3 linked regions of the Rattus norvegicus genome follow. Each later gene encodes a partner of the first gene's protein in a complex. Links are inferred from orthologs where the notes say so. Each region holds a gene or a part of one and is shown on either strand. Other genes may lie near its edges.

Evidence for each region.
Region 2: Vamp7 (region 1) and Vti1b share a complex: the UniProt entries of both Homo sapiens proteins name them as parts of the SNARE complex. The link is inferred for Rattus norvegicus from reciprocal best matches to the Homo sapiens genes VAMP7 and VTI1B.
Region 3: Vamp7 (region 1) and Bet1l share a complex: the UniProt entries of both Homo sapiens proteins name them as parts of the SNARE complex. The link is inferred for Rattus norvegicus from reciprocal best matches to the Homo sapiens genes VAMP7 and BET1L.

What each region holds. Positions count from the first base shown.
Region 1 is NC_086030.1:21,852,079-21,855,727, reverse strand, and holds part of Vamp7 (vesicle-associated membrane protein 7), read right to left. Parts: intron 2,685-3,649; coding exon 2,627-2,684; intron 1,399-2,626; coding exon 1,261-1,398; intron 1-1,260. UniProt on the Homo sapiens protein: Involved in the targeting and/or fusion of transport vesicles to their target membrane during transport of proteins from the early endosome to the lysosome. Required for heterotypic fusion of late endosomes with lysosomes and homotypic lysosomal fusion.
Region 2 is NC_086024.1:103,706,910-103,710,658, forward strand, and holds the start of Vti1b (vesicle transport through interaction with t-SNAREs homolog 1B), read right to left. Parts: upstream 2,579-3,749; 5' UTR 2,256-2,578; coding exon 2,141-2,255; intron 1,616-2,140; exon of another isoform or gene 1,533-1,615; intron 1-1,532. UniProt on the Homo sapiens protein: V-SNARE that mediates vesicle transport pathways through interactions with t-SNAREs on the target membrane. These interactions are proposed to mediate aspects of the specificity of vesicle trafficking and to promote fusion of the lipid bilayers.
Region 3 is NC_086019.1:205,362,242-205,365,990, forward strand, and holds the start of Bet1l (BET1-like protein), read right to left. Parts: upstream 2,466-3,749; 5' UTR 2,307-2,465; intron 1,662-2,306; 5' UTR 1,552-1,661; coding exon 1,533-1,551; intron 484-1,532; coding exon 392-483; intron 168-391; coding exon 111-167; intron 1-110. Other genes in the region: Ric8a (synembryn-A), read left to right, coding at 2,786-2,869, 3,158-3,205, 3,295-3,749. UniProt on the Homo sapiens protein: Vesicle SNARE required for targeting and fusion of retrograde transport vesicles with the Golgi complex. Required for the integrity of the Golgi complex.

The sequences.
Region 1 (3,649 bases):
TCGTGGGGTACTGCCTAAGTCCTCTCCGCGGCGTCAGCAACCGGGAAGATCTGCGCCGCTCTTTCCGGGAGCCTCCGTGCACCAGGGTTCCAGATGGCGTTTGGTGTTTTCCTCTGGCGTCTGGATGTGCACAGAGTGCAGTCTCTTCTGGTTTCCCAGGCGTGTCCGCCTCTCTGAAGGTTTAGCTCTCCCTCCCACGGGATTTGGGTGCAGAGAACTGTTTATCCGGTCTGTTTCCTTCAGGTTCCGGCGGTGTCTCAGGCGCAGGGGTCCTCCCGCCCCTGGGCCCTCCCCTACGGGAGCCCAGAGGCCTTATACAGTTGCCTCTTGGGCCAGGGATGTGGGCAGGGGTGGGCAGTGTTGGTGGTCTCCTCCGCTCTGCAGCCTCAGGAGTGCCCACCTGATCAGGCGGTGAGGTCTCTCTCCCACGGGGTTTGGGAGCAGAGAGCTGCTGCGGGCCGGGATCCGCGGGTGTGGGACTTCCGGTAAACACAGGAAGTCGACAAATTTTTAAATTACTTATCACTCACCATATGGCCCAGAAATTTCATCCCTAGCGATTTCCCAGAGAAATAAAAACATTTGTCCACACAAAGACTTGAGATTCACAGAGGTTTACTTATTATTGTTAAAAACTAATGGCAACGCAAATACCTAGCAACAGACAAATGGGTAGAGCAGTAAAAGACCCATCAGGGTACCCACTTTTTGACTGTACTTAAAAAAAAAATCTAGAAAGACAGAACTAATCTACAGAGGTAAAATATAGATTAGTGATTTGCTGGGTAAAAATATTTGCTTTGGCGACTTCCTAGGAAGGGAGATGGGGGAAAGTTTACGGGAATCAAAGGGTTTTTTATCTTTACTATGGTAGCATTTCAGAGTTACACACACACACACACAGACACACACGCACACACACACACACCATCAATTCCGTTGACAACGAGGAAGTTACGCAGATGAATAGATTTTCCCATGATTCATTTGAGCCTCAAAAATCCAACTTGCTTCATGGATGTGAAAAAGTTTTCTATATAGGTTAAAAGGCCAGGTGACATGTCTGGTGCATTATATAAAGTATAAAAGTTTTCTTATATAAAATATAAAAGTTTTCTTATGTTACATTCTCCAGGTCAGAGCCCCTGGATTCACGATGTGTGAAGGTTGTAAAGAAGAAAAATAAAATATAAATAATATAATAATAAATAATATAAATATAACATAAATTAAATCACCACAACCTGAGAGAAACCTTACCAGTTGTGCAGCCAGAACGCTCGAAAACTCACTGTTCATGGCATAGGGAAGTGCGGTCTGTGCTCTCGAGCCATATGTGGTCTGGAACCTCTTCTTCACTTCATTCAAAAAACCGAAGGCCCGAGAACGCTCGAAATCCTACAGAATGAGCAAGATTGTACTCATATTTACAAATTAAACACATACATGTGGGAGGTTGATGACCCTGACCTCTGACCCCTGACCCTGATCCTGGCCCTGACCTAGTCCTAACCCTAGTCCTAACCCTAACCCTAACCATGTTTCGTAGATCAGAAACCAAAGACTCCAAAAGACAACGAACTTGCCATCAATCAAACCGCTAGTAAATTACAAAGCTGAGAGCCGGTCATGGTTTGCATAAGCTCGGCCCTGGGCGTGGCGCCATTAGAAGGTGTGGCCTTGTTGGAGGAAGTGTGTCACTGTTGGGTGGGCATGGAGACCCTCCTCCTAGCTGCCTGCGGGTGCTCAGGCTGTCCCTGGCTTCCTTCAGGTGAAGAACGGAGAACTGACACCGCCTCCTGCACCATCCTGCCTGGAGGCTGCCGTGCTCCCGCCTTGATGATAATGGACTGACTTTTAATCCTTCCAGTCCCTTCAGATAACCGACCTTCCAGTCCCTTCAGATAATCGACCGTGAGAACCGACATCAGGAGACAGTCAATAAATCCAGAAAAGTAAGATAGATTGAGGGCTGGAGAGACGGCTCAGTGGTTACAGGTGCTAGTCGCTCCTTGAGAAGACCCGAGTTTGGTTCCAGCACCCAGGTCCGGCAGCTCACGACTGAAATCACAGCTTAAGAATTTTGCCGCTCAACACACACCATTTGAAGTTCTGTGACAATTTTCATCCACCCCAACGTTTTCGCATCAGTCCTTTCAGATAACGCGGGACTTTGTCGTGAAATCTGTCATTGAAAGTCGTTTCCGCTTCGTTTAAACCAAATCTAGCTAACCTTGCTAGGTCCTCTGCATATACGTTACACTGGTTAGCGCTTGGTTTTGTGGACTCCTAAAAATGGGAGGCGGGGTGGCTCTCTTCTTTTATTGAAACAAAAATATAAAAAATAAAAGGTCTGAAAACAAAAATAACCACCACGGAGGCCAATTTCAACACACTGTTTGTTGACAGAGATTCAGAGTGATTGAGCAAAAAGTATCAAAACTGAGCTGAATTATATACATTTTAGTATCAGTGTTTGTCCTAAGATTCTCTTTATAACAAATGCAAAGCAAAGAAAAAAACTGTACTTTTTGTGTCGCTGTTACCCACCCTTCTGTAGAGATGATTGATAATCGGCTACATTCGTACACACAGTGAAACAGCAATAGATCTTCAGGTTACTTACGTCATCCGTGATGCAAAGATACACAATCCTGTCCTGGCAGATGTAGTGAAACAAATAACTGCGGAAGAAAGAAGAAAAGACAGAAAACGTATTGTGGTTTTAAGTATCACCTGCTTTAGTTCTAAGTTCTGGCCACGTATAAGCCAGTTCAGTGTGTCAAACTTCACCATAGCGATTACAAATACAATCCGTTTCCATTTCCCCCCTCCTCATGCATTTCTGTCTTTAGTTAAACTCACAGGAATGAATAAAACATGAAAAAAAGTTCTCTTTCTTGAATATAATCATGTGTGCCGACCATTAAAATGTCAGCTAGAAAAGAACAAATGGATTCTTAAGGCCCAGAGGAGAGATGACGTCTTAGAAGGAACACACAATTAAAATTAATTCCCAGGGGGTCGTAGGTTTTTTTTCCCCCCTTTCTGGTTTTGTTTAGCTTTTTCCCCCCTGCCAACACCTTTGATAGCGAATTCTCTGTGCTTTTGTCCTGCATTCAAGCATCTGCTTTGAGCAAGCGAATGTGCAGGATGATGAGGATACGGATTGTAAAACCATCAGTTCTTGCTTTTTTGGGATCATAGTATAAGGAGTTACAATGCAGTTCGGCAAATAAGTTGATACGTTGTGGTTTTAAGAATTGGAATTGAGGACTGATAAGGAAATTGAGGGTATTCTATAGTACCCTAGGGGCGTAGAGGAAGCAGGTAAGGACATTTACAAAGGGTAAAGGTGATGTATGATTTGAATCCTAAAGAATAAGTAACAGCCATGCAAGGGGTCAGCCGAGAATATACAAATGTGCAGAATGAGGCACTGTAAGGATGTGGATTTGAAAGAGCACATCATAAATATCAGAAAGCAAAATCGGTTCGCATGATGAAAGTTCAGAACATACGGAAAAAAGTAATTGCCTGGACAGATGCCAGCGGGAAAGGAAGTAGAGACTGTATTATACAAAATTTGATAAACTGCCTTGAGAAAAATGAAAAGATTCAAAACGGTTTTGCCTGGGGCAGGGAGTGT
Region 2 (3,749 bases), on another chromosome or scaffold:
ACACATGTCTACAGGTACCACAAAACCAAAACTTAAAACAATAACCATAAGCACTTAACATATTAATCAGATGACAAAATTCTATCACTTCTGAGGCTTTTGAGAAATCTCTTCAGAAGATGCAATGTCAAGATAAGAGATACCAGATGTAGGTGATGAAGACTATAAAAGTCTAATGATTTCCATACATGGTAAGACTGTTACTGCCACAAACCTCCTAGATTAGGACACACTGTGGCAGCGATCCCTCCAGGGCCACGAGAATACAGACTATACCTTGAGGAAATAAGTCTCTCTTTCACTTTGGGTGTTTTAACCAGTGTACACATCAATTTGAAGAGTAATGAATGTGAATAAAAGGGAGAGAAATAAATTATTCTGCTTCGATACCCAGCTATTTTCTTCTAAGAACTCATAGTACCTTTAACAACCAAAAATGGTTTTTACAGTAATTTAACAAATACAATATGTAGTATTTTTTTTTTTTTTGAAACAGAGTCTCACTGTATACTCTAGGCTGGCCTTGAACTCACTGAGATTTCCTGCCTCTGCCTCCCAAGTGCTAGGACTAAAGGCATGCACCACCACCCCAGACATATCTAGCAAATATTTATCAGATACCTAGGATGTGCTGGGTACTGTTCCTGGGAGTTTAGGTCATATGCTAAACAAGCAAGCAAAAATACTATTTCATTTCCAGTTTACTGGCTCTCACTTGGGAGGCAGAGGCAGGAGGATCTCTGAGTTTGAGGCCAGCCTGGTATACACAAGAGAAACCTTGTCTTGGAAAACAAACACAAACCCAAAAAGCAAAAACAAACAAATGAAATGGGCATCCTAAGAATAACTGTATAGAGAGCTAATATTTCTAAATAAAATAGCAAACATATTAATAATAGCTGGTAGCTCTTACTATTGTCAGACAGTAATTTTAAAGAGCTTTACATATCTCATTTACTCAAAAACCCCATTCAGTTAGATGCTATGTTTTACTTTATAGTAGAAACTAGTTTGGTTAAAATAACTTGCAAGATCACATAACTAATAAAAGGTATATATAACTTCTGGCTCTAGAATCTCTCTCTTTTTAAATAGAGTCTCAAGATGTAAAATCTAGCTGGTCTGGAAATCTCTGTGTTGCTGTGTACACCAGGCTGGCCTTGATCTCACAGAGATTCTCCTATTTGTACCTCCCAAGTGCTGAGATTAAAAGTGTTCACTACTGTTAATCTCTTAATTTTTACTGTATTTACTAGATTAATAAATTCTTCATAATGTTTTTAATGGCAGAAAAATATTTTGTCATGCTTGGTACAGAACACACTGTTATCTCTAATCTACAGGTAGACATTCTCATCTACAGCTCAAACGAGTTTGCGCCTCTTATTTAAGTTCATTCACTCAACTGATCACGTGAGAAAACACGGACCCTCTTCAATCTTTCTTCCTACTCATATCCACCAATCTCATAAATCTCTGCCTCGGAACCACCTGTTAGATTTAATGCTCACTCTCCAGATTCCCATGCTTACCTAGTCAACTGTCACGGAAGCTCCTAACACAGTCTCTTATAGCCATTCTCACATCCTCTATCCAGCTATCCGCCGCCTTGCTTCTAAAATGAAATCCACATTACTCAGCTGCTTATGTTCCTTACTGATTTACCCTATTACGTCAAAAATCTTAATGTGAGACATTCAGGTTCCTCTTTAAGTGGCTGTTTTACTCCCCTCACCTCCCACCACTGTCTTACCTATAAGCTTTACAACTATTTTTAAATTTTCATTGCCTACCAACCAAATTCCTACATCCCCAACCCCAAACTAAGTTTCTTTTTTTTTTATATATAAAAAAGTCGTCTTAACGAAACACAGGACCGTAGATTTAAGAACGCCCTATGCTGCTGGGAGAGGAGGAGAACTAAGAATTTGGGGGCTAGGACGTGGGAGGCTCGCTAGGAGACGACATCCTAATGTCGATCCCATTGCACGCCCCCAGTCACAAGAGGCTGCAGATCCTGGGCGCCCGGGGCTGGACAGCAGCAGGGGGCGTGCCCGAGTTGGAAGCCGGGAGCCCGGGATTGCGTTTGGGATCCCGCACCCTGCGGAGTTCTACCGGTCTGGTCCCGCCCCCGCCTCACCGGTCCCCGCGGTTCCCAGCAGCCGCTCCGGCACCCCTTGTAGATCTTCAAGGAGGCCGCGGAAGATCTCGTGCAGCTTCTCGAAATGCTCGGAGGAGGCGGCGGAAGTGGCCATAGTGCAGGTTGCTCGTGAGCTGCGGCCACTGAGACTCCGGGCGCTGGGCCCACTCCCACCTCAGGAATCAGCTACCCGGCCCCAAAGCCATCACCGCTGCCGCACCTCGGCCTCCCGGAATCAGGCGTTTCCGGGGTCCTCCGAGCCGGACGCCCTCCCCCCTGTTGTCACTGTGCGAGCGCCAAAGCCTGACAGAAAGCCAGGCGAGGACGACACCCGGCTACTATAGGGGCGCGGCCTGGCGCCAAGGCGAGCTGCTGTCTCCAACCTGGAGACAGGCAGTGGGCACAGGGGAGGTACCAAAGCGAAGAGCCCAAGGGAGCCCGCGGGACGGGCGCCTCGGACGCCTCATTCGGGCCCGCCGGTCCTGCAGTGCATGCTGGGGGTTGTAGTTAAGTGAGGAAGGGCGGCTGTGCAGGGAGGGCCTGGAGTGCCAGCCCTGTTGCGCAGCGACTGGATAGCACAAGTGCCTAGCTGTCATTGCACTTCATTCTGCCACCTGACTTCAGTTCAGTCTCAGCCCTAGATAGATAGAAGAGCAGAGGCTTGCCCTGCTCTTCTCGGATGGTAAAGCTCTATAACTGGGGAGATTAAGTGGCCAGGGTCACATGCTTTCAGAACAGGAAAATGAGCACTGTGCTCCCAGAATACACAAAGCTTTTAGGGGCTGAGCCAGTCCAGTCCATTAGGCTGCGCCGGGTTCTCATTCACAACAGGTTAAGAATAGCCATTTTGATAAGTTAAATATTGATCAAAATATCTTTGCCTTTGCCCTTGAGTAATGTATGATTTGGTGTGGAAAACAGACCCGTCTTACCATGTCTCTCTCTCTCTCTCTTTTTTTTTTTGGTTCTTTTTTTTTTCCGGAGCTGGGGACGGAACTCAGGGCCTTGCGCTTCCTAGGTAAGCGCTCTACCACTGAGCTAAATCCCCAGCCCCGTCTTAGCATGTCTTATCTGCCCTTACATAAAACATATTAACAATTATGAAGTCTTCTCTGTTCTTTCATAGGTATAAATTCCTATGTATACTGTTGGCAGGGTTTACACAAAGAGCCTACTCTCAAAAGTTTGCGTGGGAGCTCAGTATTTATACATGGAAATACACACACACACACACACACACACACACACACACACACACACATATGGCTGAGGATGTAGCTGAGGGTACACTTATCTAACATAAGCAAATCCTGTAATCCATCTTCCAAGGTATATGGTAAAGTGGGTTACTGGTGATTTTTGTCTTTGAGGCCCTAGGTTTACAAGCTTGAATCCATTGACCATTAAATTCAATGAAAAAAATTGTAAAATGCATTGTGCAAAGATAAAGTCTGATGTTGTTAGCAGTGGTGCAAACTCTTATATTTTTCTCATAAAATTCAAAGATAGGCCAAGAGTGGTGTTGCTTGATTTTAATCCCAGCACTTGGAAGGCAGAGAGAGGCAGATGGATCACTGAGTTCAAGGCCAGCCTGGTCTACAAAGCACTT
Region 3 (3,749 bases), on another chromosome or scaffold:
GCTGGGATCTGTGACGGCCCAACTGTACTAGCGCTGAAGGGTTAGAGGCAGAAGAGCAGGCGGCATGGGGGTAGAGCTGACTATGATTTGTACGTAATACAGGCACTTACCATGCCATCTAGGTATCGGTTCTGGTCTTCCGTGTCCCTGTCGATGTCCAAAGCCAGCTGGTTGGGATACAGAAGGCACAGTCAAGCAAGGACACAGAGTGCAGTGCCCATCTTCCCTTCAGATTCTGCTAGGTACCTATTACTAGAAAAAGCTAAAAAGGCCAAGGTATTACCTGAAGCATTCCTCAGTCAGCACACCCACGGACAGCATGGCTTCCTTTCTACCCACTCAGCCCCACTCACCAAAGTGTCTCATGGAAGGGAAAAGGGCCACCACTAACCGATTTAAGCCTGGTGACCTTAGAGGCCAGGCTGTCAGCCATCCGCTTGTTCTCTCTGTCTAGAATCTCCTCCACAGCACCAGAACTCTGAGCTGCAAGACAAAGAGGCTGAAGGGTAGAATTCACTCATAAATGTGGTCCTTGGCTCCTTGCTCCAGTGGAGCCTGGCCTGGTGAGACCTCTAAGGGCATTCCACCCATATCCTTCTGCTCACTTAGCATGTTCCACCCTATGTTCCAACAGGTAGACCACCTACACACCAGACAGGAAGCATGGGTCATGGGAGTACTTGTGTGCAATGCCCAGGCAGAGACAGGGAACCAGCAGGTCAATCTACACTACCCTGTTGTATACTGTTCCTGGACCAAAATGAATATTGCCTTAGCTGAAATCACCATCTGAGAGTATGGGACAGGTCTCAATCTGGTAGGGATTATAGGGAAAACAGAACAGAACAACAAAGCAGGTGACAGGAAGGCTGTGTGGGGATGACTTAGGAATCAAGTCCAAGGTAAGTGTAAGAAAGGCCTTTTACTGTAGAAACTACCAATCCCTACTGCTACAACCCACACAGGATCTCTAGAAGCCCCAGAGCACTCTCCTGTGGAAACCTTACTCCGACGGACAGAGACTAGACATGAAGAATTTCTGTCACGGTATGTAGTTGAGAATCACCTGCCTAAGTGTGACTGGCACTGGTCTGAAGCATAAAAATCCAGCCTCGATATGACCCACCTAAGGGGAAAGCCAGCAGCACCAGCAAACAGGGGCGACCAGACTCTAAAAGACAGACGGCTGTGTCCTACCAACCACTACATAGTTAGTATAGTAGAAGCCTCAGTATCACAACTGTCAGACTGAACACAGGCACGGGGGCGGAGGGTGTGTGTGAAACGAGGCACTTGAGCCCTGTAAGTCCCTGCTTGGACCTTCTGCTTCCAGCCCTTGGCATCAACCATACACACAAACTGATGTCATGCCGGCTTGGGTTCCAAGGCAGTGCCAGTTGAAATCTGGCCCTGTTTTTCCTGGAATACGTAAGCGCCATCCCACGCAGATCCCTCCACCGAGGAAAAATTGATGGCTCGTACTCCAGACTTAGACCTTGCCTCCTATCCCAACTACCTTCAGGTGCGCTCACCTCGAGTCCAATCTGCCATCGCGCCTTCCGAGGTCCCACTCGGGGAGTAGGCAACACAGCGACGGACGTGGCACCACTACCTGGGTCTTCCGGTTCCGCCTCAGGTCTAATAACTTCCGGGAGAAGAGTCTGAAGCGGAAGAAACAGACTTGTAGTTCTACACTGGAATGTAAATAAGGGAAGGGCGGGCCGCCAGCATTCGGGCCTACGGATTGGTCAGCAGTATTAGTCCCGCGCTGTGGGTATTACCCGGAGCAGGAGCTCAGACCCCAACCTGGAGCCGAGGGTCGGGTACCTCGGGCGCTGCAAAGTCCCCAAGTGAGAACGACAGGATGGGGAGGACGAGCAGAAGCGAAAGAGACTGGCAAAGGACCTGACACTGAGTAGAGGCAAGCGCCGGTTAGCACAGCGGGCGGCATTATCCTCTGGAACATTGCTTGTGTCACCGTGGGGTGCACCGACTCTGCCTTAAGCTAAGTGGCATGCAGACCTGGCTCCCCACTATACAACGTTCCTACGCTTCTAACCCCAGACACGCCGCGGCTAGCCGCCCCTCCGTTGCTCCTCCCGCGGGAGTCGCTTTTCCACCGGTGTTCTTCACTTCCTTCTCTCCGATCCTTCCTCATACACTCTGCAATTGCCCTTTTCTTTTGATAACCACATTATTTTGGTGGTTTGGTTTTTTGATTGTTTTTAGATAGGTCTGCCCGTTTCTGCCTCTCGAGTGCTGAAATTTAAAAAAGCGTGCGTTACTATGCCCGGCTAACCACGTACATTATTTTGACCATCCAAGTCGTACTTCTCTTTCCTTATTTCCCGTGGAAGATGAGCATCAGGAAGATGACCGCGAGAATCGTCTTCCCCAACTGACTAAGCGGCCAGGAGCCGGCGCTCCCTCTTTTATCACAGTACGGGAACAAGAGTGTAAGGAGAAAGGTTTACGCGCCGGCCAAGCCACACCCCACTCCCCACCCCCGCCCGCCAGGAAGTCGGGCTAGAGAGAAGGGCTCAAAAGGAGGATACTGCTTAGTTAGCTAGCATCGCTGCTCCAAGACAAGCCGCTCAGCGGCCACAGCCGGGTTGCTCCACCTTAAGCCGGAGGCCAGCCCCGCGCCTGTACACACCCTAGGCTCGGCTGTTCTCCCAGCATTCCTCACGCGTGGACGCTGGGCTTCCGGACCTGGGCGGAGTCCCCGGGTTTGGCCGATTGCGTCTTCCCAGCCCAAGTCTTCTAGCACCCCGTGCCAGGGGCCATGGAGCCCCGGGCAGTTGCGGATGCCTTGGAGACGGGAGAGGAAGATGCGGTGACAGAAGCTCTGCGGTCGTTTAACCGAGAGGTGAGAGGCATCCAGCTGCCGAGGAAATTGCAGGAAGTGAGGAAGCAGCCGGTTGCTCGCCACTCGGCTGGGGTGTGCGTGCGAGTGTGGCAGGGAGCAGGGCGGTGGGTGGTGGGCTGGGCCACGGCGGTGCCTCTGTGGTAGTCAGGTGTATGGGTGGCGAGGGTGGGCCTTGCTTTACGTACACAGCGATGGCTGCTGCTTCAGAGGTAGAAGCAGACCTGCTGCTTCTCGAGGAGCACAGGTCCTACCTGCGTGTGGAACTGAGCTTCCTGGGTCTCCCTGCAGCATTCCCAGAGCTTCACCTTCGATGATGCACAGCAGGAGGACAGGAAGGTAGGTGTCAGCCCAAGGGGGTTCCTAGGGCAAGCACGGGCTGCCCCAAGAAGAGGGCCTAGTGGAACCATTTTTGTCCCTTCCCACAGAGACTCGCAAAGCTGCTGGTCTCCGTACTGGAGCAGGGCTTGTCACCAAAACACCGTGTCACCTGGCTGCAGACTATCCGAATCCTATCCCGAGACCGCAGCTGCCTGGACTCATTTGCTAGCCGCCAGAGTTTACACGCACTAGCCTGCTATGCCGACATTGCCATCTCAGAGGAGCCCATCCCACAGCCCCCAGACATGGATGTCCTCCTCGAGTCTCTCAAATGCCTGTGTAATCTTGTGCTCAGCAGTCCTACAGCACAGATGCTAGCAGCAGAGGCTCGACTGGTGGTGAGGCTAGCGGAACGTGTGGGACTGTACCGCAAAAGGAGCTATCCCCACGAAGTCCAGTTCTTTGACTTAAGGCTCCTTTTCCTGCTAACAGCCCTTCGCACTGATGTGCGCCAGCAGCTGTTTCAGGAGCTGCATGGCGTGCGCCTGCTGACCGATGCGCT